Linked DNA regions of Pelodiscus sinensis. The protein of the gene in region 4 interacts with the protein of the main gene of each other region in a pairwise test. Links are inferred from orthologs where the notes say so. Each region holds a gene or a part of one and is shown on either strand. Other genes may lie near its edges.

Evidence for each region.
Region 1: the proteins of NIF3L1 (region 4) and DMC1 interact in binary tests that used the Homo sapiens proteins (3 or more experiments, as listed by UniProt). The two-hybrid records come from large-scale screens. The link is inferred for Pelodiscus sinensis from reciprocal best matches to the Homo sapiens genes NIF3L1 and DMC1.
Region 2: the proteins of NIF3L1 (region 4) and BEND7 interact in binary tests that used the Homo sapiens proteins (3 or more experiments, as listed by UniProt). The two-hybrid records come from large-scale screens. The link is inferred for Pelodiscus sinensis from reciprocal best matches to the Homo sapiens genes NIF3L1 and BEND7.
Region 3: the proteins of NIF3L1 (region 4) and DHPS interact in binary tests that used the Homo sapiens proteins (3 or more experiments, as listed by UniProt). The two-hybrid records come from large-scale screens. The link is inferred for Pelodiscus sinensis from reciprocal best matches to the Homo sapiens genes NIF3L1 and DHPS.

Annotation. Positions count from the first base shown.
Region 1 is NC_134711.1:91,668,876-91,676,079, reverse strand, and holds the start of DMC1 (meiotic recombination protein DMC1/LIM15 homolog), read right to left. Parts: upstream 3,009-7,204; 5' UTR 2,465-3,008; intron 1,818-2,464; exon of another isoform or gene 1,612-1,817; intron 1-1,611. UniProt on the Homo sapiens protein: Participates in meiotic recombination, specifically in homologous strand assimilation, which is required for the resolution of meiotic double-strand breaks.
Region 2 is NC_134711.1:14,014,463-14,021,947, reverse strand, and holds the start of BEND7 (BEN domain-containing protein 7), read left to right. Parts: upstream 1-4,466; 5' UTR 4,467-5,066; coding exon 5,067-5,127; intron 5,128-7,485.
Region 3 is NC_134729.1:13,363,461-13,371,071, reverse strand, and holds the start of DHPS (deoxyhypusine synthase), read right to left. Parts: upstream 3,013-7,611; 5' UTR 2,856-3,012; intron 2,483-2,855; 5' UTR 2,478-2,482; coding exon 2,274-2,477; intron 1,702-2,273; coding exon 1,537-1,701; intron 1,298-1,536; coding exon 1,176-1,297; intron 755-1,175; coding exon 658-754; intron 218-657; coding exon 131-217; intron 1-130. Other genes in the region: FBXW9 (F-box/WD repeat-containing protein 9), read right to left, coding at 5,540-5,614, 6,004-6,069, 6,588-6,677, 7,305-7,418. UniProt on the Homo sapiens protein: Catalyzes the NAD-dependent oxidative cleavage of spermidine and the subsequent transfer of the butylamine moiety of spermidine to the epsilon-amino group of a critical lysine residue of the eIF-5A precursor protein to form the intermediate deoxyhypusine residue.
Region 4 is NC_134717.1:73,550,017-73,557,296, reverse strand, and holds the start of NIF3L1 (NIF3-like protein 1), read right to left. Parts: upstream 3,016-7,280; 5' UTR 2,886-3,015; intron 2,700-2,885; exon of another isoform or gene 2,667-2,699; intron 2,601-2,666; exon of another isoform or gene 2,578-2,600; intron 2,544-2,577; exon of another isoform or gene 2,364-2,543; intron 2,145-2,363; exon of another isoform or gene 1,905-2,144; intron 1,418-1,904; 5' UTR 1,416-1,417; coding exon 974-1,415; intron 1-973. Other genes in the region: PPIL3 (peptidyl-prolyl cis-trans isomerase-like 3), read left to right, coding at 5,909-5,911. UniProt on the Homo sapiens protein: May function as a transcriptional corepressor through its interaction with COPS2, negatively regulating the expression of genes involved in neuronal differentiation.

The DNA.
Region 1 (7,204 bases), on a different chromosome or scaffold from region 4:
GTGAGTCTTGCTGGTTAGAGAAGATGGGAAAAAATAAGGGAAAAAAAACCTGGTGTAATTTTAGAGGTAGTTCTTTGGAAGTAAAAATAAAATGGAGTAACTTATCTTACTTTCTAATAAAATATTAAAATGAGTTGTAAATTAATTTTTCCCAAAACATCTCCATATGGTACCACAATGAACTTCTTTCCTATGGACAAATGAAACTATCCTCTCATCACACCTGAACAGGGATGAAAATGTAGTCATCTGTATACATTTTCCTTTAACATACTACTAACAAACGGTAAAGTGTTTCCTGAAGTAACATTAATTAGACCTTTGTCTTCAGATACTAGAAGAAGAAAAACATAATGTAAAAGGCAAAGGACATGTTAAAAACCCCTCTCTGCACTTTCTAAAAATAAATCCCTTCCCTGTCTTGAAATGCGTTGCATGTTAAAGCCAGTCTCCTCTGCCTTTAACAACTGCATTTTTACATCAAAGGCTAAGAATGGGACACTTCCAGTCCATTTCATTAGCCTAATTAGCACCAGTCCTACAATTGACCAGTACTTTTTTGGTTTTTTTTGTTATATATCTTGGTTTATGTTATTTCTACTCCAGCTCATTTGAAGAAGCTCATGATTCTATAGTTAGTCTCTAGGGCTATGTCTACACTCACGGCTTCTTGTGTGAGTAATATGCAAATGAGGCTAAGCGTGGAATATCGCTGAGCCTCATTTGCATACCTAATGAGCCACCATTTTTTTCAGAAGAGGCTCTTGCGCAAGAAGGAGCGTCTACACTGCACCTTCTTGCGCAAGGCCGTTCTTCCTAAAAAGTAACAGGTGTAACGGCATTGTGCCAGAAGGTTTTTCTTGCGCAAGAAGGTGCAGTGTAGATGCTCCTTCTTGCGCAAGAGCCTCTTCTGAAAAAAAGGTGGCTCATTAGGTATGCAAATGAGGCTCAGCGATATTCCACGCTTAGCCTCATTTGCATATTACTCACACAAGAAGCCGCGAGTGTAGACATAGCCTAAGGGTATGTCTACACAATGGCACTATTTTGGAATAATGTCCATTATCCCAAACTAGCGTTCTGCATGTCTTAACAGCATGCCTGCTATCTGGAAATTCATTTGAAATAATGTGTTTCTTATTCCAGCTTCCTATAAACCTTATTGCATAAGGATTAACGAAGATACAGGCATAGCAATTTATTTTTAAATTAGTGCTGTGTAGACAGCACCAAATTTCAAAATAAGCTATTTTGAAATAAGCTACACAATTTGCATAGCTCAAATTGTGTAGCTTATTTCAAGATACATGTTACTGTGTAGACATATCCTAAAGTACCACAGGTCTACTTGTTTTTGAAATGCACTGCATTACTTGCATTCAAAAGGGCAAGGTGACTACTCCCCTTTGGATACATAGCAATGCAAAATTGGCAGAGTAAGAAGAGCCATAACTGTATCTTTCTGCTGGCCAGCAAGGAATGTAGGGGGAATTATAATGCACCCTGTTCAGAAGTGAAGAAGTAGAAACACTGCCCTTTTCTTTCAGTGCTTCTGCTATAGTAATGTGGTTCTGCCCCCCAGCCACCTTGGAGTTATACCCAAAAACTTACACAGACCAACTCCAAAAATCAGGCACAAAGGCACCCAGAAGACGAACTGATCTTGAAGAATGTTTTGTCCTTACAATAGTGATAGAAATGTAGCTGTGTTAGTCTGGTGTAGCTGAAACAAAATACAGGACTATGTAGCACTTTAAAGACTAACAAGATGGTTTATTAGATGATGAGCTTTCGTGGGCCAGACCCACTTCCTCAGATCAAATAGTGGAAGAAAATAGTCACAACCATATATACCAAAGGATACAATTAAAAAAAATGAACACATATGAAAAGGACAAATCAAATTTCAGAACCCTCTTCTGTTCTGAAATTTGATTTGTCCTTTTCATATGTGTTCATTTTTTTTAATTGTATCCTTTGATATATATGGTTGTGACTATTTTCTTCCACTATTTGATCTAAGGAAGTGGGTCTGGCCCACGAAAGCTCATCATCTAATAAACCATCTTGTTAGTCTTTAAAGTGCTACATAGTCCTGTATTTTGTTTTTACAAGTGTGGCATGCATTATTGTTCCCTGGCACACTGAGATAAGGGCCCCAAGCACACAGAGCAATATGGAGCAAGGTGTGAGGATGGGAAATGAAGGTTGAGAGAGAACGTGGGGTTGGGAGAGGAGGGGTGGGAGTGTCTTGACAAGGGAAAAGTGTGAATCTTTTCTGTTGTGCTCCAGTCTTAACCAGAGTAATTGCCCCTTTATATTTAGTTCCACACCTCCAGGATAATAAATCCTACGTGTTGTCAGGGAACACCTGCAGCACAGCAACCGCGCCATTACAGCGAGGGTGAAATACAGCCGCTTCCTATGTTAGGAGCAGGTTTCCCCGTTGCTGTATTTAATCCACCTCTCCAGGAGGCAGGCGCTATGTGGATGGAAAAATTAGCTGTCAGTACAGCGGGGGCCAGGTTAACCTAACTAGACCAGGCCCCCTTGCTAGGCCGATCTCCTGTTCAAGCCCAGGGGCCGTAGCGCTATTTCTCTGTGTGGGGCACGCGGGCTCTGGCCAGGCGCAGCGAGGTCGGGCTGGATCCGACGCTAGCTGAACTGGCCGCTCTCTGCCTCGCAGTCTCAGATCACCTGCCCCGCCCGGCCGTTACTGGCGGTTCGTTGCAGACGGGCCGGGGATAAACGCGTCTCCCTTTCCCGCCAAAAGTGGCTGAGGCGAAGGTCTGCGATTGCCCGGGAGCGCGCGCACCCGGAGTTCAGTCTCTGACACGACAACGCTGCCTCGCGCACGCGCAGTGGTCACCGACAGCGGCGACGTCCACAGCTGTTTACGAAGGGACCCTACCACCGGGAAGAAAGAGGTTGGATTCTACCACTGGGGAAGAGGGGAAGGCAGGGAGCCGGGAGAACGCTGGTCTGTTTGAGGGCCTGGGTTAAAATACACCCGCCCGGCCGGATGCTGCTCACGAATGGAACGATCCGTGTACAGCGGCCCTGACAGAGTTTCAAGCTATGAATCGGTATCCGGTGTCGGACCTCCCCCCCCCCTTCCACAGCCCAGAATGGTAGAGTCGGGCGGGAGGGACAGAGACTGACTGAAGCGTTCTCAGTGGTCTCCAATCTTTTTACACCCAAGATCTGCCCCGCCCCTTCCCCGAGGCCCCGCCCTCTCCATCACTTGCTGTCCCCGGCCCTGACTGGCTCTCGCTGGGTTGAGAGCAGCTGCTGGCCCTGGGGTGGGAAGGAGGCACCAGGCAGGTGAAAGTGGCTAGTTAGCAGGGGGCACACCCCCCAGAGACTGCCCCACCCCCAAGCCACCCTTTAGTGTGGGTGGGATCTTTATCCCCCCCCCCCAATTTGTACAGGAACATTGCTTGCTTTTCTTCCAGGGAAAGTATACAGTTTGCTGCTCTCCTCACTCTGGCTAGGAAACACAAGAGGCAGATGAACCTAGACCTAGCTCAGCCAGGGGAAATGCACCCATCCCTCGGCTGTGCCCGCTGGAGCTGCAGCAGCCCTAGAGAGGCGCTTCTTGTCTGACCCCAAGCTACTGTGCTGAGAGAAGACTGGGGTAGTTCTCTCTCCCCAGTTCAACCTGCATATTGAACCCCTCATCCATCATCCCACCATATTATTTTTCAAAAAACAAATTAATTGAGTTAAGGACCCAAGAAATGCCAGGGCAGCCTTCTAGTATTTTCATAACATATATCCCTATCCCTATAGAAAAGGAATGGCTGTATAACAAAGCTGCTGACTTTAGTTATGATAAGATTTTTGAAGCCACTTGAGTGGAAGCAGGACAAATCCTAATAACTTTCAAGGCACTTTTGAAAAATCCCAAACTCAGTCCCCAATAGTGCAGAGGTATATTTAAGCATGTCTGTTATTTGCTATGTCAGAAAATGAAACATGGAAAAAGCAAATTGTAATCTTCCTAAATGGGAGTGTGAGAGTGCTCAGCACTTTTGAAAAATCAAGCCATGTATTTAGGTACCTGAATGTGGGTTTAGGAGCCTAAGACCCTGGGCGGCGGGAGGGGGAATTGCTTTACATAGCTTTTATGGAATAAGACAGCATTTTCTAAACTTGGGAGGCAGGACTGCACAGCTTTGTTTACTTTACATGTCCATAGCCTTGCAGCTCCCATTGGCTGCAGTTTGTTGTTTCCAGATGGAATAAGATATTCCCCATCTGGACATTATTCCAGAATAAAAGTTCACTTTTATTCTGCAAGGCTACGTCTACACTGGCCCCTTTTCCGAAAGGGGCATGCTAATTTTCAACTTCAGAATAGGGAAATCCGCGGGGGATTTAAATATCCCCCGCGGGATTTAAATAAAGATGTCCGCCGCTTTTTTCCGGCTTGGGGAAAAGGCGGAAAAAAGCGTCCAGACTGGCCCGATCCGCCAGAATAAATCCCTTTTCCGGAGGATCTCTTATTCCTACTTCGAAGTAGGAATAAGAGATCCTCCGGAAAAGGGCTTCATTCCGGCGGATCGGGCCAGTCTAGACGCTTTTTTCCGCCTTTTCCCCAAGCCGGAAAAAAGCGGCGGACATCTTTATTTAAATCCCGCGGGGGATATTTAAATTCCCCGCGGATTTCCCTATTCTGAAGTTGAAAATTAGCATGCCCCTTTCGGAAAAGGGGCCAGTGTAGACGTAGCACCAATAGTGTGGGGAGGAATTATTCTGGAATAGCTAAATTATGCCAATAAAGATGATATTTTTCCTGTGTAGACAAGGCTTAGCTTTAGCCTCCCATTTAAAAACAAAAAACCCAAAAGACAAACCTTGCCCTGTTTTTCCTGTTTATAGACAGGCTCTTCTAGGAGGCAGATGAGTTGACCAAGCTGGAAAGGCTACCATTCATCCAAAAGTGCTGCTAAAATGATAATGTTGATCTACAGCACTTGAACTTCAAAGCTGTAAAGTGCTATACAATCTCATACCACTAATGAGTGGGATTCTATTTTATACACTGGAAACTCGACACAGGATTGGATTCATTGCAGGGTTCACCAGCACAGAGGAGCCTTCTGCAACTTTCCTCCTTTCTGGGAAGGTCTGCAGCTAGCCAGCCCAACTCCATTACCACATATTGTTGGCAAGAGGCGATGCACTGAGTCTCAACTACACTGCCTTTCAGCTTGGGCCAAGACAGTTCAGACAAAATAAAAAACAGCTCAAATCTTTGACACAGAACCAAACTATGAAACCATTAAAAATATTCCAGTGACTTTTTTTAATCCTCATATTACTTCTATTGTTGAAATCTTGTGATATTTTTCCAGTCCAGTTTTACAGATCAAAGAGATTAGAAATCAGTCAGACTTTTGAACTCAGTTCTTCCCATTTTTTCAGGTTTGTCTGTTCTAATTGATGAAGAAAGCTTTGGAGTGGGCTGCCTAAAATACACCCTTCAGATGCAAATGAAAGTCTGAATGGACATTTATGCCAATTTATGGTCGGGGAATCTTGAATTCTGGTTTGCTCAGAGTGCAGCTTGATTTATGGCTGTTTCTGCATAAAGACACTTCTGTGACAGACTTGAAGTCTTGTCAGAACTGAAGAGGGGTCAGCATTTGATTCAGCTTCTTCATCTCTCCTTTCTCTGACAGCAATTGCTTCTCTTTTCTGTAGTATGGGAAGGACAACGAGAGAGAAAAAATCAAAATAACTTGTTCAAAGCTATCTTTGACTAAGATTTCTAAAATCACCAAAGCAATCAAAGAAATTTTAAGAGTGGATTTCTCCACCACTTTGGAATTGATGTTAATTAACCCTTGAATCCCCAAATCCATAAACATGTAATGCCCCCTCCAAGCCAACTTTCTTAGGGCATGTCTACACTGCAGCATTATTTTGAAACAACAGGTGTTATTTTGAAATAAAGTACATGTCTACACAGCAAGCCGTTATATTGAAATTATTTCGAGATGGTGGACTTCTTACTCTGACTTCTGTAACCCTCATTTCATGAGGAATAAGGGAAGTCAAAAGAAGAGTGTTCTTCCTTCAACTTCCTGTTGTGTAGATAGCGCCAAAAGCTGAATTAAGCTATTTTGACTTCAGCTACGCAATTGATGTAGCTGAAGTTGCGTATCTTAATTCAGCTTTTGCCCTGCAATGTAGACGTGCCCTTAATCACCCTGTTACCCTCAACAAAATTCAAGATCACTTTTCCAAAACAAAACAATACTCTCAAACTCCTTTGGTTGACCATTAGCTCACAGATTCCATCTAAAGCATCATCAGTAAAACATCACATTACATCTCTGTATCCCTCTGGAATAATTAGCTAATGTTACACCACAAAAATATCCCCATATTTCCTTATTCCCCAACACCCTCTGAAATCAATGTCAGGCAATAGGTTTCACCTTTGGCAGACACCAATAAATCACTGGATGTGTTCAGATTATTACAGAATATGTTAAATTGAAACCACACACATTTTTTGTACCTGAGGAATTCTTGCTTCTCTTTCAACTGGTGCTGGTCAAAATCCTTTATTTCTCTGCGGTGTCTCTGGTACACTGTTTTGAAAGCTTTGTCCAACTGGCGGATATGATTAAAACCTTGTTGGATCACATCTGCATAGGTTGGAGTGGACTCAGTAATTTGAAATGTAAAAGAAAAAAAATCTTGTCTTTTGGTAAAGCAACAAAGACATCATAGATAAGTTAGGACTGAGATGAACTGATAAAGCTGTGTGTAGATGGGCGGGAGATGGAGGCTCAGGACTACAATAGCATAGGATATTTAAGGTCAGCTTTATGTCAGGGAAGTTAGAATTAAAATAGCAGAGGATCTTCATTAGTGGGAACAGAGATGGAAAAGGCTGAACCTCCCTCCTGGCATTGCTCCCCAAGTACTCACATTATCTAGTAGAAAAATATTTGTGTTTTAAGACCAATCTAATTTATTCCATTCATTTTTCAATTAGACAGCATTTCATCTCCCATTTTATTCAGCTGCTTCCTCCTCACATTTGTTTTCATAACCTTCCTATTCTGTTACTGAGAGCTTTCCATAGAGAGATATGTTGATGAGACTTTCCGGGACACTGTAGTACTGTCCCACTGTAGTACTGTCCCAGGTTGAGAGCCCCAGTGCTCTTAAAGAGGATGAAAGT
Region 2 (7,485 bases), on a different chromosome or scaffold from region 4:
GAGCATCAGGGCTGAGGAGATGATGGTGCACATCACAGAGGACAGTGAGAGGGGAGGCACATAAAGGGTCAATGAGGTGACATGTAATTGGCCACTGCAGTGAGCAGCCAGTGCTGGCTGGAAATGAGTGGGGGTTAGAGGGGAGCCTGATGGCCCAGAGCTGGCACACAGTAGAGACTCCACTGATGGACCATCAGTGGGGACTGGCCAGCCTTGCACGCTGCAGCTTTGCCCAACCACCAGTCTTGTACATCCACCCTATCATCAACTACTTGATCCCCACCACTTATCACTGGCCTGTGGTTGGCTGGCTAGCAGGAATTCAAAAAGCAGTAGGACCTACCAGCACTGATGAGAGGGGAGAGACAGAAAATAAGGGACAATTGCAAAGGGGGGGACAGAAGGGGTACTTCAAAGTGGCAGCACTGCACAGTGGCACCACTACTTTGAAACCCCAAGGTGGCATTTCAAAGGCGCAGACGCTGCACAGATGATTTGCAGATCAGCTGTGCGACAGCTGCCCCTTTAAAATGCCACTTCTGTGCTTTTCAAAGGAGCAGCTGGGGAGCCCAGGGGTCAGCTGGGGACTCCCAGTTGATCCCGGATTCCACGCGGAACTTCCCCGGAACCTGGGATCAGCTGGGGAGTCCCCAGCTGATTCTGGGTTCCACATGGAAGTGCCACGGGGAGCCCAGGGTTAGCTAGGGAGTCCATAGCTGACCCCGGGCTCCTAGCAGCATGAAGCATAGCATGGAGCTTGGGGTCAGCGGGGGACTTTGAGTCCCCTGCTGACTCTGGACTCCATGGCTTTGAAATGCACAAGAGCCCCTGCTGGGGACTGTTGTGCATTTCAAAGCAGGCACAGCTGTGTGCGGCCCGGAGTCAGCGGGACTTCCCGCCAGCCCTGGGCTGTACGTGGTGTTCCATATTCCTCCTTGGAACTCTTGTACATTTCAAAGGAGGAATGAAGAAGGCCTATCAACTAGTCAATGGACATTCCATTGACTAGTCAATTAACCGCATTTTAATATCCTTAGTTGGTCTAGTTGTGATCAAGGTAGTTTTATTGTGTGGTTTGGTTTGAACTGCTCTGTGTAAATCTATGCCTCCCCTCCACATTTACTATCTCGCATTGTGCCCAGAAACTTTTCTCTGTGTTTTGTTTTCCTTACTTGCTCTGTAACATCTAGCAATCAAGTATGCCTTATCAAGTCTATCTTTTGTTTTCTAATAAAAATCACTTTTTTAAGGTGATAATTTGATTCTTGAGTCCTGAAAGGTCTGTTTGTCTGTGTATTTGCATGCCTCTGACTGAGAGGTCAGCTACCAGAGACTGCAGCTTATTTTTCTATTTTCTTTTTTCAAGCTCTTTTGGGAGCTTAGAGTACCCCGGGGGTGGGTTCAAGTGTTCACCTCCAGTTTTAGGGATAAAAAATAACTTGATGGTGGCAGTTTGTTTACTTCTCAGAGCCAGGGAATCTGTGACTCTGGGAAGTTTTGGTAACCAGTGCCTGTAGAGGCAAGGTTTTTAAGCTCTCTCGAGGGCCCTCACCTTCTGCACTTGGAGTGCCAGAGTGGGGAACAGCTCTGACAAAGGGTCACATGCCCCTTAATGCCATTGGGAGGCAAGCGACGAGCTGCCCGCAGGCAGATCCTGATTTGTCCAACCGCTCTAGGCCCTGCGCTTGGGAGACCCTACAGGGCCCAGGCAATCTGGAGCACTGGTGGGGTATGATGCCAGCAGCAGTGGTTGCTCCCCCCGCAGCAGTAGAAAGTAGAGCAACCTGCCACCAGCCTATACTGCTCCCCCCTTGGGGAAGGGGAAGGGGAAGGGAAGGGTTGGAACTGCTCCCCATACTCATCCGCAGTGTGAAGTGGAGGGACATGTGTGGAAGCCAGATGAGTGGAGTGGGCTGGATCACTCCACTTCCCATGCATTCACTTGTGAATGCAGTGTGTGTGTAAACCAGGGAGAGCTTCTCTTCTGAAGAACTAGGTAAGCTCAAAAGCCTGTCTTTCTCCAGCAGAGGTTCATCCAATAAAAGATACTACCTCATCAACCTTGTCTCTTTAATACTACAGTACACAGCTTTTAGCGACATGGCTGTGTCACTACAGCTGTGTCACTAAAAATCAGGCAGTATAGCCAGTGTTTATTGGCTCTTTTGCTGACAAAATGCTTCCACAGCCAGCAAGTAGCATTAACTTTATTGGCAGGACAAAGTGCTGTTCACACAGGCACTTGTTGGAAAAACTTGTCTTTCATGGACAAGAGGGTCATTTAACACCTCTGAATGACAAAAAGTTTGTTGTTCAGTTGTCAGGATAGACTTAGCCTTAGACCATGATACACTACAAAATTATGTCAATTTAATTGATGCTGCCACACAGCTACTACAGTTACTAAATCACGTGGGCTACGTCTACACTGGCATGATTTTCCGAAAATGCTTTTAACGCAAAAGTTTTCCATTAAGAGCATTTTCGGAAAAGCACGTCTAGATTGGCAGGATGCTTTTCCGCAAAAGCACTTTTTGCGGAAAAGCATCCGTGGCCAATCTAGACGCGGTTTTCCGCAAAAAAGCCCCAATAGCCATTTTCGCGATCAGGGCTTTTTTGCGGAAAACACTACTGTGCTGTTTACACTGGCCCTTTTGCGCAAAAGTCTTTTGGAAAAAGACTTTTGCCCGAACGGGAGCAGCATAGTATTTCTGCAAGAACACTGATGATCTTACATGAGGTCGTCAGTGTTCTTGCGGAAATTCAAGCAGCCAGTGTAGACATCTGGCAAGTTTTTCCGCAAAATCACATGATTTTGCGGAAAAACTTGCCAGTCTAGACACAGCTGTGGATTCTTGCATCAGTGATGCATGTTCTCACCAGGAATGCTTGTATCCATTGTATTGTCAGTGTGGGGCATTGTCGGACAGCTCCAGAAAGCCAGTGATAGTCATCATAAGCAATTTGTTGATATAATTACATCGTGACTCTGCACTGCTCAGGGAGGTGCTGTTATTAAATGGGTGTAGAAACATTTACATCAGTAGAAGCCAAATTTAAGTGACGAACACTTCCACAGCTAATTTGAGGCAAGGCAGGTTACATTAACCTACCCCGTAGCGTAGACCAGGCCAAATGCACTTAAAGTGACTTAACCTCCAGTGTGGATCCACTGGTAGCCAGTACTGGCATAGTTGTATCCCCATTAGGATGGAGGCATAATAACTATTCTGGTTTAAAAACCCAGCCCTCACCGAAATAGTTGTTCTGGTACAAATATGTATGCAGATGAGGCCTAAAAATGAAAATCAAGCAGAAGCATTCCTTGCTTTTAATTGAAGCCTGGTGTCCAGCAATGTTCCCGTAAAGATTTCCCATCTATGGCGGAATAAATTTTGTCCTGTGCACCAAGACATATGCAGATGTGTACCACCAACAGAAACACATGCTGCTGACTGCGGTCAGCTGTGGGCACTCTGCCAATCAACTGGGTGGCTGTCCAAGTGCTCTAGGGCTGTGTCTAGACTGGCAAGTTTCTCCACAAAAGCAGCTGCTACATTGCCAGCTGTCTACATTGGCTGCTTGAATTTCCGCAAGAGCACTGATTTCCTACTGTCTGAAATCAGTGCTCCTTGCGGAAATACTATGCTGCTCCCGTTCAGGCGAAAGCTTTTGCGCAAAAGGGTCAGTGTAGACAGCCCAGATTTGTTTTGCGTAAAAAAGCCCCGATCGTGAAAATGGCGATCGGGGCTTTTTTGCGCAAAAGCGCGTCTAGATTGGCACAGACACTTTTCCGCAAAAAGTGCTTTTGCGGAAAAGCATCCGTGCCAATCTAGACGCTCTTTTCCGCAAATGCTTTTAACGGAAAGCTTTTCCGTTAAAAGCACTGGTGGAAAATCATGCCAGGCTAGACGTAGCCTAGGTGTGTTCTGCTGGTCTGAAAGGGGTTGTCTTTGATCCACAGCCTGAACTTTACTTAAGATGGCAAATCCTTTTAGCAGAGCTGGGGGCATGGCAGGAGGCAGCACCTGACCCTCATTCTAGGCTGCGTGAGGACAGAGCCTGCATCTTCTGCCTTAGCACTGCAGGCCCTAGATTCCCTCCCCTCTCCTGAGGAAGTAGGGTGGGGTGTGCCCCGTGGGCGCACTGCAGGCAGCGCACCCTAGGCTGGGGGAACACGGCCCTGGGGGGGGGGGGACCCAATGCCACCAGTCTGCCTCACTAACACCCAGTTCTGGAGCCAGGCGGCGGCGCTGGCTGGCGCCCTGCGCCTGGGGCAAGCACCCAGCCCGGGGGGCGGCCCGCGGCTCCAGGGGGCCGCGGCAGGCGCCAGCTCGCGCCGCGCGCCTCAGGGGACCGCACAGGGGACGGGTGCACAAAATGGCGCCGCCCTTGCGTTCCCTTCCCCCTCCGAGAGTCAGATCCCGATCCCCCCCCCTCCCCGAGACCTGCCCCGCCCCGCCCGGCCGGCAGCGGAGGGGGAAGAGTCACCTCGCCGCCCTCTCCGTTCACTACCATGAGGCTGAAACCGCTCCCCCTCCCCCCCTCCCTTGGGGCCCGCGGCCGCCGCCGCCGCCTCGGCGTGGCGTGGGGCTGCGGGCCGGCCTCGGGGTGGCGGCCTGCGGGCCAGGCTCCCTCAGCCACCACGGGGCGCGCTGTGGTGCGCGCAAGCTTCCCCCAGCAGGTGGCAGCGGGGTCCCAGGCGCCGCTGAGGCAGCGCCACACGCCCGCCGCCGAGCGCTGCTTCCCTTGGCGGTGGTGGCGGCGGCTCCCGGGAGGCGGCCGGCGAGCTCCCCGCACGCAGCCGGGGCTTCCCCGGCACCTGGCGATCTGCCCCCCGCAAAGTTTGGGGTTGGCCCCGGGAGGTGGGGGAAGGGAGCCCGGAGCCAACTTGTCCCAAATCCCCGCTCCGCAGTTGGAACTGAAATCTCCCAGCCCCGGTTTATTTTTGCTGATTAAAGGGACGGACCTTGGTCCTGCGGCTGGGTGGCTGTATAGCCTCCCACTCGCTCTGTGCCATCCCCTTTCTCCTTCCTTTCTTCCTCCTCCTCCCTCCTGCCCACACCATGGAGTTTACGGAGAGGAAGAGGAGCAGGAAATCCCAAAGCTTTAAACTGATCAACCAAGGTAAAGTGGTGCCGGTGGGGGGTAGCGTGGTGTGTGACTTTTTGTTGTTGTTCATTTGTCTCTCCAAAGGACTTTCGGCTCAACGTAGCTGGCTTTCAAAGGAGAAGAGCAGGGTGTTATGAAATGTATGCTGCTTTCCCTTCCCTCTGTCTCCTTCAGTGTCTTTCTGTCTTTATGATTTAACTCCTTGGATTTGTTTTTAAACCCCCTCCCCAATGACAGCACGGTTTTCAAGGCAGATGGTCTCCAAAATAAAGTTGGATCGTAATTTCCTTGTAAACCCCGAGTTAAAAAAACGAAGCAGGAAATTAGTAAAATAATGGTACTTGGGGAACAGAGAAGAGAGCCCTTTCGGTATTCAACTCCTGTAGGGTTTTTTCCCCTGTTGATTGCGCACATACACGTATTTCAAATAAAACACTAATAGAGGTTGTTTTTCTTTTTTAAAAAGGCAACGCAGCCAATTAATTGTACAGAGATAAGGAAGAATTCCTGTCATGCAACTTGTTCGCTCATTATGTATTTGCTTTACGAAAAGAATAGGGTGATTTAAAAGGGATGGTAAAGACTTGTATTTATGTCGGGGGGAAACAGACCTTTCTGTTTAGATCTAAAAATCGTTGATGGTCATTTTCACAGGTGAGCTTTACAGCCTTAGTGTTTTATTTAGGTGGGGATGTGGACTGCTACTCCCACTGATTAGATCTTTTCCTCTCATTGATTTGACTTCCGTGTTTTAAAGTATTGAACTGAAATATCTCCATGAAAAGCTGTGTGTGTCCAGCATGCTAAGTTCAAGGCAAGTGACTTCTCTGGCATAATGTTACACACTTTTTCTTTAATGTGTCACACTTGGGCACTTTTAGGCATCCCTCTTCAGTCACTGTTGGATGAAAACAAATGGGAAGCAAAGGAATTTAAACATGAAAATAACTTTCGGGAAGCTAATGAAAAATATTCATTATGAGCATTGGACATAACATACTTTCTTAATCTAGAGGAATACTGTACTGTCAGGTCAAAATTGGCCAAAAATTAGTGTAGATTTTATAAAAGCAAGTATTTGCAAACATAAGGTCAGAAGAAATTAATCTGGGATTTAAAGTTCAAAAGGAAACTTTTTGAGAAACAAGTATTCTTCTGCACTGCTTATAGTATAAGCACTAGAACAGTGGTTCTCAATGTGTGGTCCATGGACTCCTGGGGGTCTGCGATAGTACTCTAGGGGGTCCACAGAAAACTTAGGAAAGGAAAAGTAAGGATTGGGCCACCACATGACTGGAGCTTTACGCCAAGTGATCCTCACCTGGGGCGTGCACACACTCTCCCCCCCCCCTTCGTTCCCACAATGGACCCCAAACCTTACTTTTCTTTTCCTTTTCTCTCCCGGGGCTCTGTGCCTGGCCAAGGGCAGAATGCCAGGGCAGGAGCTGCCTTTGGCCTTGAGAGCCCCCTTGCAGTATCCTCTGTGGATGGGCAGGGAATGAAGCAGCACAGATCAAGGGATGTGCTGGTTGCCCCTTCATGCCACTCCCCTTGGAGGTCCATAACATTTTAGCAGATTGAAAAGGGGTCCGTATGCTCGAAAAGGCTGGGAACCACTGTGCTAGAGTATGAGGATCTGAAAGTGAAACTGATTAGTTTGTATTTCCAAGTTGAGAAAACTGTTAGATGTGCAGAATAACTCAAATAGTCAAAAGTAAATTAATATTTTACAAGCATTTAGTCTTGACATGTCATTTGTAACATAGATTAATAATTTTGTAATAATACTTTTAACTATTTTTCACTGGTGATTTAGCTTGTGTTTCACTTGTGGGTTAGCTGTTTTTTGTCTGAGAACCCTTCTAAATTATAGAACACTAACAACACTAAATGCAATTTTGGAAAAAGTGGTGTTTTGATTCAGGGAGAACAGAGAAGATAAAAAATGTATTTTAGCAAAGTAAGATTCAGCTTTTATGTATGTCCCTCCTCATTTCCTATGCAAATTGATTACAAAGATCATTGAGTATAAATAGGTGTTTCCCTGCTACTCAGCTTTTGCTTCCTGCTTGAGTCATTCACTGTCAGAGTTTAATGTTTACTGTGAAGATATTGATAGTGATTTCAAAGCCTTGGACTAGGACATTGCAGACAAAAGAAGGGGGCCAAAGGAGACACCCACTGTATTGACTTATATTATGTAAATTATTGTCATTTTTACTGTATACTGTACACCCTACATCTTCTTTCATCCCACTGAATCTCAAAGCAGTTTGTCATCATAATGAAGTAATTCAGACTACTGTATATATAAAATTGTGTATTCTTCCACTGAAATGCAGAAACTGATACAGCAGTCAAGGACCAGTGAAG
Region 3 (7,611 bases), on a different chromosome or scaffold from region 4:
TTAGAGGGGCACTCGGGGGGGGGGGGGGGGTTCAGCTAAGCCAGGCTGTACCCTGGGCATGGTTAGCCCGGACCCTGGGGGGAATGAACAGAAGCGCCCTTGAAGCACAGGACCACCCCCCTCCACTGACCTTCTGTGCCCAGTAATAGACCGATTCGGGGTTGTTCATTTCCTTGCCCAGCCGTGCGATCATCTTGGACGGGGTCCACTTCACCCCCTGCAGGGCCCAAGGGCCAAAGCTGCAGTGAAAGCGCCCCCCTGCAGTGACCCGAGCCCTGCCCTGCCCCCCAGCTCAGAGACTTGGGGCCCGCGGGGCGTTATCAACGTTAAGGTGCCCACCCTCACAGCTCCCCACCTGGCAGCTCTCCCCATTATGGTGCAGATGGGGAAACCGAGTCACAGAGGGATGTGCCTCACCCAAGGTATAAGACCCAAGAGTCCTGATTCCTGGTGTCCCACCCACCCACCTTCTGCTCAACCCACTGGACACCCCCCCTCCCCTACACTCCATTCCCAGAGCCCAGGAGCCCTGACTCCCAGCCCCCTTCCTCCACCCATCTGCACATGCCAGGTATTTTGGCAGGGGGTTGAGTAGGGATCAGGTCAGAGACCTTCCCAGTGTCCTACAGCCGCAGCCCCTCCCCCCCCCGCCCTCACCTCCATGTTCTGCTCGGCGACCATCTGGTCCAGGATGGGCATAAGCCAGTCTTCGAACTTGCAGTAGTTGTCGTTGGGCACCAGCAGGTTCCCGATCCTGGAGACAGGAGCAGGTTCATCCCCAGCCCTCCCCCCCCCCAGCCCAGCTGGGCTCAGCCCCTCCTCCCACCCCAAGGAACAGGGACACCACTGGCATTTCCTGATCCCCAGGGGGGGGGGGCACAAAGAGGATCATGGCTGGATGGATCCAGGGGCTGAGAACAAATACAGCGTCTTTCACTTCTAGAGCATCATTTCCTGAGCCCAGCCTCCCCCTCTCATTCCTGGGCCCCACTCCCAGAGCAGGGACAGAACCCAGGAGAGTCCTGGCTCCCCTGCTCTAACCACTAGACTGCACTCTCCTCCTAAAGCACTGACAAGGCCTGACTCCTAGTCCCCCGTGACTCTAACCACTAGCCACTATTCTCCCCCAAATCAGGAGTCCTGCCTCCCAGCTGTTACCCCAGCCCCGCCTGTACCTGTTGATCCCGCTCTCCCGAAGCTCCTTCCCTTGCAGGCTGAACTCCCCCACGTAGGTCGGAGCCAGGCATTTGATGAGATCTTCTTCCACGCCACCCGCTGTCGTGACCAACACGTCCACCTGCATGGCACAGGGACCCCAGCCTGTCAGAACCCCACCCCAGGGAGCCCTCCCACTGTTCATCAGGTGGGAGAGCCCAGCTCTGTGGTGGGTGAAGGGAATGGGGGGGCCATGACAGCAGCCTGGGTGGCAGAGCCTGACACATACGGGGGCACCTCTGGATGCAGGTGCTTAGTGTCAAGAGGGCACAGAGGGACACGGGAGCAGGGCTCAGCACCTGGAGGGGGCAGGGGCCTTACCATGTTGTGCTGCACCAGGTAGCGGATGGTCTCGCGGATGCCGGAGCTGATGAGATTGGAAGTGAAGCCCAGGAAGATGGTGCAGCCTGAGGGCTGCCGGCGGCAGGGGTTCAGGTCTGCACGGGTCTCCTCCTCCTCCCCCAGAGGCTCCAGCTTCGCCGCGATCTGGGAACCAGAGCAGCCCCACATCAGCAGGGCCATCCCTATCCATGCTGATGCCCTACACAGCCCTGCACTGAGGGGACTGTGGGGGCAGGGGGAGGGCTGCCAGTTCTCCCAGACCGAACGTCACTGCTGCAAATGAGTCTGGTTGGGAGAGCTGGCAGCCCTAGGCAGGGTGGGGGAGACGCAGGGGCATGGGCCCGGGGAGCAAAGAACAGCCACACAGCCGCTTCTCTCCAGCTGTTGGCTACCCACCCTACAGGGGCCTGGCTGGGGAATGGGACCCGAGCTGCCACAGAGCCACGGGCTAGGGGGCTGGCCAGCCAGGGGAGGGGGCTGCTACAGCCCATATGCAGCACCCAGCTGCATGGGCACCGTGCAATTTGGTGCCCCACTCAGCTGGGTGTTCTGCGTATTGGCAGAGACGGGCCTGCCCGGCTGCTGGGTCGGGGAGCGCAGACGCCCAGGCCACCGGCCCCCACCCAGGTCTCTGGCCTCGCAGCGGGGAAGTGACCTGCCTGCGGCGAGCGACACGGAGCCCCGGAGTCCTGGCGCCCCCGCGCCCCCCCGCTCACCATCCTGTTGATCTCCTGCACCGCCTGCCCGAAGCTGGTGGCCTGGAAGCCGGTGGTGAGGTAGGACTGGAGCAGCGCCCGGTGATCCAGCCCGCGCCCGAAGTCGTAGCCCCGCACCCGCAGGCTCTCCTCGGGCAGGACGGCGCTGGGCTTCAGCACGGCCGCCACCGCCGCGGCGGGGAACCCCTCAGCCGCGCTCTCCATGGGGCCTGCGGAGACGGGCCGGGGTCAGCCCCCCCACGAACCCCCCCCAGCCCCCTCCGCGAACCTCCCCACGAAACCCCCCCAGCCACCCCTCCCCCCGCGAGCCCCACCAACCTCCCCACGACCCCCCCCGAGAACCCCCCCAACCCCCCCCCGCGAGCCCCCCCAACCTCACCACGAAACCCCCCCGAGCCCCCCCAAACTCCCCACGAACCCCCCCAACCCCCTCCGCGAACCTCCCCACGAAACCCCCCCCAGCGAGCCCCCCCAAACTCCACACGAACCCCCCCACGGAACCCTCCGCCCCCACAAAACCCGCCCGCCCGCCCGCCCGCTCGCTCGCTCGCTCCCTCCCTCCAGGCCCCGCCCGGCTCCTACCTGCGCCTCAGAGCCCTTCTCGCCCCGCTGTCGCGCTCCTGGCCGCCGCCATGTTCAGCCCGGCCGGCTACGGCAGCCCCGCGGGGTCAGGACCGCGTCCGTACGCCTGGGCGCCGCCATGTTGCCCCTCGAGCGCCGCCGCGCGGGAACCGTATGCGTGGGCGTCGCCATCTTGAATAGAAGCCACGTACGGGAGCCCTGCAGGGTCAAGTGTCCTCCGACCCAAGAGCCCAGCACCTACGCCAGGCCCCTTCAAACACCAGCCTGTCCGAGCCGAGCCAGCCCCGCACTGGACCCCGGGCGGGGATGGATCCGGAATCGATTAACCGATAAGCGAAAGCACGTCGGTTAACGCTATAGAGACCACCCGCCTTCCCCCGCGTCGTCCTGCAGCGGGGAGTTCCGCTGGTGCGGGACTGGCAGGGCCCCCTCTTCACCCAACCTACAGCCCATGGGGGCGAGACCGGCGTCCTGGCTGCCCACCTCAGATCTCCCCACCTCCCCCTGCTCCCCAGCATCACACAGGCCTGAAAAGGTGCAGCTGCTGCTCCCGTGGGGAGTCCCATCCCCGAGACCCCCGCCCAGGGCAGCTGGTCCATGCGGGTGGAGGGGGGGTTCCAGCCCTGCAGCAGCCCAGGGCGCACACAGAGTTCAGCCTGTTCTGGCCTCCAGCCCGTTCACAGGACGGATTAGAGGGAGCCGTCCTGCAGGGAGCACTAATTGCCCAGGAGGTGGAAGCTAAATCGGGCCGGCATGTTCCTTTCACAGGTGACTGGGCCCGGCAGGGGGCCCAGCAGAAAAACAGATACTGCCTGGGACAGCTGTGAAGTCAGCTCTGCAATAGGGAGGCAGTAGGTGCCTGACCCCTTCCTCCATTCCAGGATGGGGCACCCTGCTGACAGCTCTGGAAGGACAGTGGAGAGTAGGGGGCAGAGCAAGGACGTGAGCAGCAAGCACTCACACTCCAGGGCCTCCCCAAGACAGGAGGAGAATCCAGGAGTCCCAAATTCCCAGAATGCCCCTGCTCTAGCCACTAGACCCTACTTCCCCCTTCCAGGACAGGCGTTAGGAAGCAGGACCCCTATGTTCTGGACCCATCTCTAGGAAGGCCTCCCTTGCTCTAACCACTAGTCCCCACTTCCTTCCCAGAGAGGGGACCCCAGAAGTCCTGGCTCCCACCCCTTGCTCCAACCACTAGTCCCTGTTCCCCAGCCCACCCTCTGACTTTGCTCACCTGCCTTTTGACCACCCCCCCCAGGTCTCCAAGGCAGGCACTAGGACAGGGGTCAGGCCAGGATCTCCCCCTGTACGGCAATCCTTCATCAGCTCCAGGCATATGCAAGGGTGGGGGGAAGGAACCAGGCCATGTGTCCACAGCAAAGGGCCAGCCTGGGATTGTTCTGGGTCCCAAAGAAACCATCCCTCAGGGACTGCAGGGAACTTCAGTGCTGGGCCAGGCTGGCAGCTGGCAAACCCTCATGGGAGAAGAGCACGAAGGGCAGAAGTGAAGCCTCAGTTACCCATTCTGTTCTCAACCCCCCCTCGGGTGGAAGGAGGATGCCCACGTCTGCACAGGGAGTCAGTGGCAGCCTGGAACAGTCGCTGCAGTGCCCCCGTGCCTCAGTTTCCCCACCCATATTTCCCAGGAGGGGTGCTGGGAAGCAGAGGGTTACTACAATGCGAGGGCAGACAGACATACAGCCCCGCACTGCAGGGACCCCAGTTAGCCACAGCAGCCGGTTCTGCTGGGGAAGGGGCCTGCCCCAGCCAGCTCGTTGTGCACAGGCAGGAAGGGCCTCAGGGATTGGGCCAGAACCCGAAACCTCACACTGTGTTTGTCCAAACGGCCCCGGGTGGCGCAGGGACCCTCTCACTGGCGTCAGTGAAACGCTCACGGCCCTGTTCACAGCCCAGCCCCACCCCCCAATAAAGCCTCCATAGCCCATTCCCCCAGTGCTTCACTCTGGCTCTTGCAATTCCTGTGGGGAGGCAGGGAGAGGAGAAAGCCGCCGTGTCTGGAGCTCCCAGGAGACCAGGATGGAATTTCCAACACGGCGTGCCTGTGACTGCACCGGGAAGGGGATAACGAACCCACCAAGCGCTCTACTCGGCTCCAGTCTGGCAGAATATTTTAATCAACAACATAAGCACGTGGGTCAAACTTAGTCCCGTTAGGTTACACAGCCAGTCGATCAGCCCCTGCCTCTGCCTTCCTCAGCCCTTAGCAGCAAGCGCCCCCCGACGGCGCCGTCCAGCGGACTGACCCCTCACTCCCAGCCCCACCTGCACTGTGACCCCAGAGGCCTTTGGAACAGGTCCCGAAGGAGCAGCCAGGGCCCATGCACCGTGGCAGGTAGATCAGTAGCAAAGGCTGCCTGGGAATCAGGCCAGGGTTCAGCCAGCTAAGAAGCCCAGAGCAGGAGGGGAAGAACGTGAGCCAGAGAGCTAAGGCAGTGCACCTGGCGGGGGAAGGCTGGCCGGGCTCCCACCCCTCTGGGAACAGCAAGGCCAGGGTGAGCTCAGGCAGCGAAACTTCGACCTCGCGGCTCCTCGGGCCTCTTCCAAAGAACAAGGAACAAATGACCGACGAACGGGCGCCGGAACTCTGGCCCCCCGGCCGGCAGTCGGGCGCCGGGCGCAGCACCTCCCCCGGCAACACACGGCTCCGCAGATCCAGGCCTCCATCAGGCGTTGAGCCTCCAGATTTCCAAGGACAGGCCCCCGGAAGCAGCTACCACAATGTTGCCTTCCGCGCTGATCTGGGGGGAAGGGGGAGAGGGGGTGTGAACAGGCACCGGGGACTGAGGCCACGTCAATCCAGGATCCCGGGGCGCCGGCTCCAGGGTTCCTGCTACGTACACCCTGCCCCCGCTCCGAGTTTAGCCACAAGGTGTCCTAGTGCTCAGCATGGCTGCGGGGCCCTCCCGTGTGTGCAAGGAGAAGGGAGCGCTCCCCCGGGCGGAGCTGAGTGGCCGTGGGCCCAGGCCACAGGAAGGAAGCCAGGACGGGACGTGTCAGCCAGGTGTGGCTTGGGGAGAGTGCAGGGACGGGGATTCCCCCCGGCTAGAGCACAGCACGCAAGGTGGCTGGGCGCTCAATGCCCAGACACTCTTGTCCTCCCCGATTCCGAGGCCCGGGGCTGCCTTACCCCGTTCAGCACGTTGTTGTGTGTCCGTGTGCAGACAGTGCGAGGCGGGTCCGTGGGAACGTGTATCTGGAAAGAGACGACTTGTGGGGAGGTTGCACAGAGCTTAGTGAGTCTCAGAGGAGCCTCTCCGTGTGCTGTTTTGGGGGGGGCACTGGTACTTTGGTGTCAGCACTAGGGGGTTTGCATTGGTGCAGCTACCCCAGGACAAGGGCCGGCTACCAAGGGCCCAAGACACCTTCAGAGCCCTGCAGGAAGCAGGTATCACCCCTTCCCGTGTCCCCTGGAAGCTGAGCCCTGGGACAGCTGCCCAGGTGACACCCAGCTGGTGAGCAGAGCGCCCACAGCTGGCAGCCTGTGGCTTTTTGGGTGGTGCACATCGGCATGTGCCTCTGCATTTGTAACATTTATTCTGCACACAGATGGAAAAACGAGAGGGGCCACTGCCCCTACCCCCTGGTGGGGAAACTGAGGCACAGAGCAGGGATGTAACTTGTAGCCAGCGTCCCAAGGCTGGGGTTAGGACTCAGGCATTCCTGGCTCCCATGAGTGGTGGAGAAGGGCCGCTAGGCAAGCCTGGATCTTACCCGCAGGCTCTTGTCGGTGGAGGTCGTGTACAGCGTGCCCAGGGAGTGCCAGACCCCAGTGATCTGGGACCGGTGACCCACGTTGAAGTACTGTGGGGAGGAAGGAGACCATGAGCCCCCTGCAAGCCCCATCAGGGGTGAAAGCCATGGCCTGCCTGTTCCAAACCCACATGGATCCCAGCATCTCTCTGTTCCTAACCCGTCTCCTCCATGCCAGGGACTCTCCGCATCCCAACCTCAACCCTCCAGGTCCCTCTCCAAAGTGGTTCTGAGGGTGGCAGCTCGTACCTCACCAGGTATTCATGTGGACACATCGCCACAGTGTCTGAGCTGTCACGATCCCCCTCCCCCCCGTGAGGTACTACCATGCTAACAGGGAACCGAGACAAATGGGGGCTAAAGGCACAAAAAGTCTGGCCAGGTCAGCTCCTTCCCACTGTGCCATCAGCTGCCATCTCAGCGGAGGGGAGGGAGGGGGGTCAAGGAGCATTGAGACCCCTTCCCCTGCCCTCCAGGACATGGGGACCCGAGACCCAGCCAGCACGGGGCTAATGGAAGACAGGCATTAAGTGAAACTGACAAGGAAGCTGACATCAGCTGAGTTCAGAGGCCCAAGTCACAAGCAGTCAACTAGCAGCATCCAGCAGGAGCCAGATTTCACCCCAGGATGAAAGGGGGACAAACAGGCCCGGTCCCCTGAAGCCCTAGCTCACGTACTCGGCTGTGCTGGAAGCTGCCGCCTCTGTTTTTAAAGACGTAGAGCAGTCCCTGGTTGTCCCCGGCCCACAGCTGCGTCCCTTGGTAGGACATGGAGAGCAGGTAGGATTCCAGCTGGAAGCAGAAAGGAGCAGAGAGAGGGTGGCACGGACGGGTCAATGCGGGTGGGGAAGGGGAAATCTCACAACACCCTGTTTCTCGGGACCCTGTGGGGAACCGATGTTTATAGACAGGTGGAGTACGTGGAGTGGAACAGGAGAAAGAGGCTCAGGTTTCAGGGGGACTTAGATTGAGGACGGACCCGGAA
Region 4 (7,280 bases):
TTTGTTTCCTGTCTTGTTACACTGTCAGCTAAAAATGTACATATTCCTCAATACTTTTATTTTTTTGATCCTCATCAATGGTATCTGAGTGCCTCTGATTCACTGATAGATTTCATCTTTGCACCATCAGAACCTAAAAATGGCCGTACTGGGTCAGACCAAAGGTCCATCTAGCTCAGTAGCCTGTCTGCTGACAGTGACCAGCACCAAGTGCTCCAGAGGGGGTGGATCAAAGACAAAGATCAAGCGATTTGTCTCGTCCCATCCATCTCCAGCCTCTGACAAACAAAGGCCAGAGACACCATTCCCCTGGCTAATAGCCTTTTATGGACCTAACCTCCATGAATTTATCTAGCTTCTCTTTAAACTCTGTTATAGGTCTAGCCTTCACAGTCTCTTCTGGTAAGGAGTTCCACAGGTTGACTATGCGCTGTGTAAAGAAGAACTTTCCCTTATTAGTTTTAAACCTTAGTTTTAAACATTAGTTTGGTGTCTTCTAGTCCTTATATTATGGGAACTAATGAATAAATTTTCTTTATTCACCCTCTCCACACCACTCAATCTCAAATTGTGCACATAAACACATGGGAAAATTGATAAAGACATTCCCCATAGACTTATACTATATTGATAAAGAGTAATTGAAACTGACTACAGGTTGAACCTCTCTAGTCCAGCATCTTTCAGACCTGACTGGTGCCAAACCAGAGAATTTGCTAGACCATGGGAGGTCAATATTGACAAGCAACATTACCAACACTTCCACTGCTTACTGGGCTCTTAGAAGACACTTATGGGTAAATTAGAACTAAGTACCAGCACAGAACACTGAGAATCAGGACTGGTGGCTGTAAACAAATTTTATGGGACTGTGGGAAACTTGGCTTACTGCTTAAGTGGACATCTTGCTAACTAAAATCATGTGGGACCACAGAGGTTCAACCTGTAACAGCTGAAAAAAGGAGTATCTCACCAAGTCCTTTGGCTAGCCAGTTATTGACTCCATGAGGTATAGCATCATAGGCTGTGTGTGGAGAGTAAATGCCAACTCTGTGTTCCAAAGCCCGGATCACCAGACGTTCTTTCCAGGTGTTCCATGTTATGCGCTTGAGTGCTCGGAATATGGGTGGGTGATAAGAAAGTATAAGATCTGCCTTCTTCTGCAATGCCTCCTGCATTACTTCTTCTGTAAGGTCATTAGTTAGGAAGAGCGTGCTCACAGAATGGGGTGGGCTCGGTTCTACCAGTAGTCCTACATTGTCCCAACTCTCAGCCAGAGAGAGAGAAGCAAAGTCATTCAAAGAGGAAACTAGAGCTTTTAGATCCATGAAGGAGCGTGAAGGTAAGACAAACCAAGACTGGATGCGCCGGAGAGGTTGGTGAATCAGGTGCACACAGGACAGCAGCATGCACATATCTAGAGGGGCAAAACATAATTAGAGGCGTTGGGGGATATGGAAGAAATGTAAGACAATTCTGAGTTAAACACCAATGTCCGAGCATTTAGACTGGCCAATGTCCAACCCAGGTGCATAACACCTCCACGTGGGCATCATATTCAATATTTGTCAACAGAGATGGCAATAAAGGAGGATTAGATTGATAAATTAAAGTGATAAGTCAGCAGGCCCAGATGGCATTCATCCAAGAGTTCTGAAGAACTTGGTTATGAAATTGAAGAACTACTAACTGTAATAGGTAAGTTATTGCTTAAATCAGTCTCTGTAACAGATGACTGGATGATTCCAATTTGTAAAAGGGCCTTGGCAATTTGAGACTGGAAAGCCCAGCTGCAGTATCAAGCACAATGGTGAAACTCTGGTAAAGAACAGACGGATCAGACAGAAGGATGAACAGGATACACTGGAGACAAGTCCGCATGAGTGAAGATCATCAGACTGTACCTGCAACAAGAATTGCTACGTGCTCTCCAACACTGATCCATGCTGCACGCGGGAGAGAGGGAAATACTAACAACCGGGCCTGACTTGAAACCCAAGCGAACGTGGGAGCCTAGTGCGGATTCAAATAGCCACTCGGGCAGGGCAGCCCTCCCTCCGTGTCTCCGCAAAGCTCCAGGCTGGCTCTGCAAACCCCGCCTGACCAACAGACTTTGACTGCCTCTTCCACCGTAACTCCCTTCTCCCACCGCCACACGCCACACGCTCGCTGCAGTCTGGGGGTGGGGCAGGCTCGGCCACGGCTGTACTGGCCCCTAAGGGCCTGGGGAGCCGGGTTTCAACAGGGAGCACAGCCCGGGAAGAAGCTATGGGGGGGGGGGGGGGCGCGGCCGGGAACACTTGCAGCCCAGGCGCCACGGGGATGGGCGCTGTGGAGCCCCAGACACTGGCCGCTCTCGCTCTGGAGCCCCCCAGCAGGCAGGCAGGCAGGGACCCGCACCTACCTCGGTGGAGCTGGCAGCGCCTCACGGGAAAGCGGCCCCGCCCCGCGCAGGCCTGGTCGCTCTGGGAACGGCGCCTTCCGCTGCGAGCGCGGGAAACAGGTGAGCGGGCGGCTGGGCCCCTTCTCCCTCAGCCCCGGGGCGCCAGTCCCTCTGCGGCGCCTCCCCCCCCCCCAGCTCTGCAAAGCGCGGGAAACAGGTGAGCGGGCGGCTGGGCCCCTTCTCCCTCAGCCCCGGGGCGCCAGTCCCTCTGCGGCGCCTCCCCCCCCCCCCCAGCTCTGCAAAGCGCGGGAAACAGGTGAGCGGGCGGCTGGGCCCCTTCTCCCTCAGCCCCGGGGCGCCAGTCCCTCTGCGGCGCCTCCCGCCCCCCCCCCCAGCTCTGCAAAGCCCCCGACAGGCCCCGTGCAGCCTGGCTTCCAGACTCCCTGCCTGCCGGGGGGGCTGGTCCCCGCGGTGGTCACTCGGGTGCAGCGGTCACACTCACGTCAGTTGCGTGCGGCCCTTGCTGCCCTGCCAGAAATAACCCTGCTCTGCACGCGCCGCTCTTAGCAGGGACAGGGGAGCCGGCTGGCTCAGTGTGGGCCCCACATGTTACACACCAGCGTCCTGGGGGGGGGGGGGGGGGAGTTTCTTGGTTTCACTATTTCACACACAAAAAAATCACAGGAGGCTTCCTGGGTAACCTTCCCCCACAGGAAGCAGCGCGGTGACACATTGCTATGGCGTGTGCGCCCCTGCTGGAAAAGCCTGGCCCTGTAAATAAGGTCTGCGCCCTGCCCGTGCTAATCCCAAGTGAGCCTGTTACTTTTTACTTGTGAGTCACTCGGCACGCTGAAGAACCAAGAAACTACAATAGGAAACAGGGATCTGGGGCCGCCCTTAATGGCTTTCAGTGCCGGATTGTAAAGCCTAATGGCAGTCATTTGTCTGGAACCTTTAGAAATTGCGTGGGAACAGGCATCTCTCCTAGTCAGGGTGTCAATGCAGCCCCCGCGCTAGGGTTCAGAGTCAGACATGTCAGGTTTCAAATCCTTGGATTCCTTTTTAAAAAGACACTATGGTTACTGGAGTTCTTCTCCAGCCAGAACTTGTCTCTCTTCTCTCAGCCCCTTCTCCCTGGTTTCAGTCTTTCAGCCCCCTTCGCCTCCCCCTCAGGTGGACTGTCTTCTGCCTGCTGCCTTAGCACAGCTGTAGCTCACACTTTCAGTCTCTCCAACTCCCTCACCCCCTGGCTGGGAGCTGCATGGAATGAAAAGCTCCTCTGTCCGCCAGGAGCTGCTGCAGGGGGATTTCTCTTGGCTGTCATAGGCAGTCTGGCTAGGAGTGGGATGGACTATGTCAGGAGTCAGATTTCAAGAACTGCAGCAGTAAAGACACGTACACCATTGGCAAAAGAAACTGAGAAATGTAAAGAATGTTATGATTACCCCCAATAAGAAACTTAAGGTGACAGTCGCATAAATGGATGTGATAGCCTCACGTTGCAGCATCAATATAAATGTAACAAAGACTAAATATATATCCTGAGTATTCAATGGCAATTACCTAGCCTAACACCATATTTATACCTTAGTGAAGACCCTCAGGAGACAAAGGAACCAGCCTCTCTCCACAGATGGAACGGGGGTCTCAGTGAGAGATAAGAAGGTATGGTAGCAGAGAATATAAGTGTACTAGTACAGTAAAGGACAGTATGAAAGGCAAGAAGAGATAGGAGAACCGTCGACCTCAGGGAGAGCATTGATAGCATTTTATAGGCATTTTTACATCACCAATAGCCAAACCAAATGCAGATTTTCACACAAGATTTGAGCATGCACACATTTGATTGGAGAGAATACATCTCATCCAAAAATGGGCAAGACACTGAATATTCTAAAAATTACTATATATTGTTCACCTCTTGACTTGGTAAAACAGGACATGTTTCGTATATTTTTGTTCTTCGCTAGCACTCGAGCCCTCTTTGTGGTTTTGACCTGGCCTTATCAACAAGACTGGAAATTTCCACACTCACTAATAAGCTATATTCTGTAATTCTTACTTATAACCAACTCTATTGCCAAAGCTAACTTCTTACAAAAATAAGATTTCTGTAGGCCCCTTGCATTACTGCTAAAACAGAGTAAAACAGTTAAAAGGTTTAGGAAAGTATACAAGCTGCAGGCAAGGTTTAGGGGAAAATATAGGGTTATGGTCTACAGTTGCGGGAGGGAGGCGATTGTACGTTACTCTACTTTTGAGAGTTCAACTTTCATGACTGCACTACAGAACTTGTATTAGGTGAATAGATAAATACTAATTCTTTTGGGGTTTTTTACCGTACAAATATTTGTAATAAAAATATAAAATTGAGCACTGTGCACTTTATTCTGAATTGTAATAAAAATCAATATATTTGAAAATGTAGAAAAAATCCACAGATATTTAAATTAATGGTATTCTATTACTGTTTACCTGTGCAATTAATCACAATTATTTTTAATTGCTTGATAATAGGGATGTTAGATACAACGTACAGTAATTGAATAATTGTGTAACCACATCAAATTTTAGCTATTACATGAATATTTAATAATCCCCAGGGGTGGGGCCAGCAACCAATATGCTCTCAGTCCCACTCCCATACAACCACCTGCCATCCGCACTTCTGCCACTGTATCAGAGGCAGAAGTGTGGAGTGGCAGGTAGGAACTAGTCCATGAGAGGAGCCGGTTTAAAAACCGTCTCCCCGTGCAGACTGGTTCCCACCTGCTGCCCCACGCTGTAGCCTCTGATACAGATGCAGCAGCCCCCTGTCCACAGGAGGCCTGCGCTGCTGCAAGGGGGAAGGGCAAGTGGCTCCACAGAGCCAACACACACGGAAAGCCATCTTAAAAGCCTGCTCCCCACGTGTATTGGCTCCCACCTGCACCCCATGTGCTGCTGCCTCTGATAGAGAGGCAGCAGCATGGAGGGGGATGGGGATAGGCGATTCCGTGGGATCTGGTGCTCCAGTGCTCGTGGAGAGCTGACTTAAAAAATGATTCCTCATAGGCACTTATCTCCCACCTCACTCCCTCTCCTTGCTGTTTCTGATACAGAGGCAACGAGATGGGGTGGAGGTTATCCAATAAGCCCAGGCTTATCGGTTATAGTCGACTATATGTTGACATCCCTACTTGATAGCCCTTAGTTGCAATTTCTTCCATCTCCCATCACATGGAATTTTTTTCTAGCTGTTGATTCATTTATAAAAATATATTAATTTGTATTAATATGTTAACTCTTTTGAGCTCTATTAAATTCTAGCTCTGCGCGTAGTTATGTAATATACATAAAATGCTTATGAACATGTTGTTCTGAACACTACTGTAAAAATCCATAATGTAATCATGAGAATAATTTCATTGTCTACCTAACCAATTTTAGAATGTTTAAAGGAGGTGGTGAAGAAAGCTAAAATAAATGTGCTTTCTTTTCAGGAAACCATTTGACCTGTCTGCATTGGACTCCTAGAAAAAAAGCATGGTAAGTCAGGCACTTTTTAGATATATTGTTATATTTTGGGAGTTCAGTATTGAGAACTGGACCGCAGCTCTGCACCCAAATAATTTCACAATTCAGTTTATTGTAAAGAATTTGTGATATAAAAGGTCAGCTTCCCATTTCACTGATTTGTGTCCAATGTGCTGTGGAAAAGGGAATACGTCAGTTCTACTATTTCATGAGAGTTTAGGTTTTGCTCCTAGAACACTACATTCAGATTCCAGTTTGGGTAATGATTTTTGGTCATTTAATTTGGTCTCTGTTCCCACATGAAAAATGTGTTAAGGTTTTAAATACATATCTGGATTAAGTACTTATTACCCTTTTGATAAAGTTAGGGTTTAAAAAAAATTAAAAAAATAAATCCAGGAAATTCAGTGCAAGGTTTCATTTCACAAACAATATACAGATATTTTTTTTATTGTGGCTCCATAGAGATCTCAGCCAATTGTCTTGTTTTCTTTTTATGTAAAGTACTGAAAACATGCAACACAGAACACTAGTTTTGTAATCCTTTTCTGTAAATGTCTCTGTATCTACTAGCAAGTGTGATCCTTTTCCCCTACATTAATGTAAATCTTTCAGTATAAATGCTGTGATTTTGTAAACTGGGTATAGAGAGGTATGGTAGTGTCTTAGCTATTGAACAGCTAGCACACCCATTTGTGTGAAAACTCATGTATATTCCATTGAGGTTTTGAAAATAAGCAATCTGCATTCCCTCTAATACACATAACATACATTGTGAATAATCTAGAGCACAAACTGACTTGTGAATTAACACTATTGATTGTTTTTTTTTCTCCCTTTAACTGCATATTTCACATCACTGAGAAAATTGAATTTTGCAGCCACCATCTTTCTGAGGCAGGACTATACAAGGACACTTTTTGCAGTTTATCAGTGCTAATTCAACCTGCCACTTGTTCCTTTCTACTGTAGACTGACAGTGCATGTACTACCATCTCATGAAATGAAACTGGCAGGAACTTGGATTACCAGCATGGGTGTGCCAAAATATGACCGACTAGGCTATTTTTAACTCTCATCTTTGAGCTGAGAAAGTTGGTCTGATTCACAGAGATGAAAAATATATGTAGCTGATCAGGATGTCGGCGCACAGATGACTACACAATTAACCGATAAGCCTGGGTTAATCCTGTTGACTACATGCATCCTCCTCCCCCACTCCCTTCCACACTGCATCTGTATCAGACGCAGCAAGTGGGGGGGAGGCAGGAGCTGGTGCCTGTGGGCTGATAGAGAGGCAGCAGTGCAGAAGGTGGGGGGGACGGGACAGGCGGGAGCCAATACGTGCGGGGAACCAGCTTTTAAGCCAGCTCACCGTGAG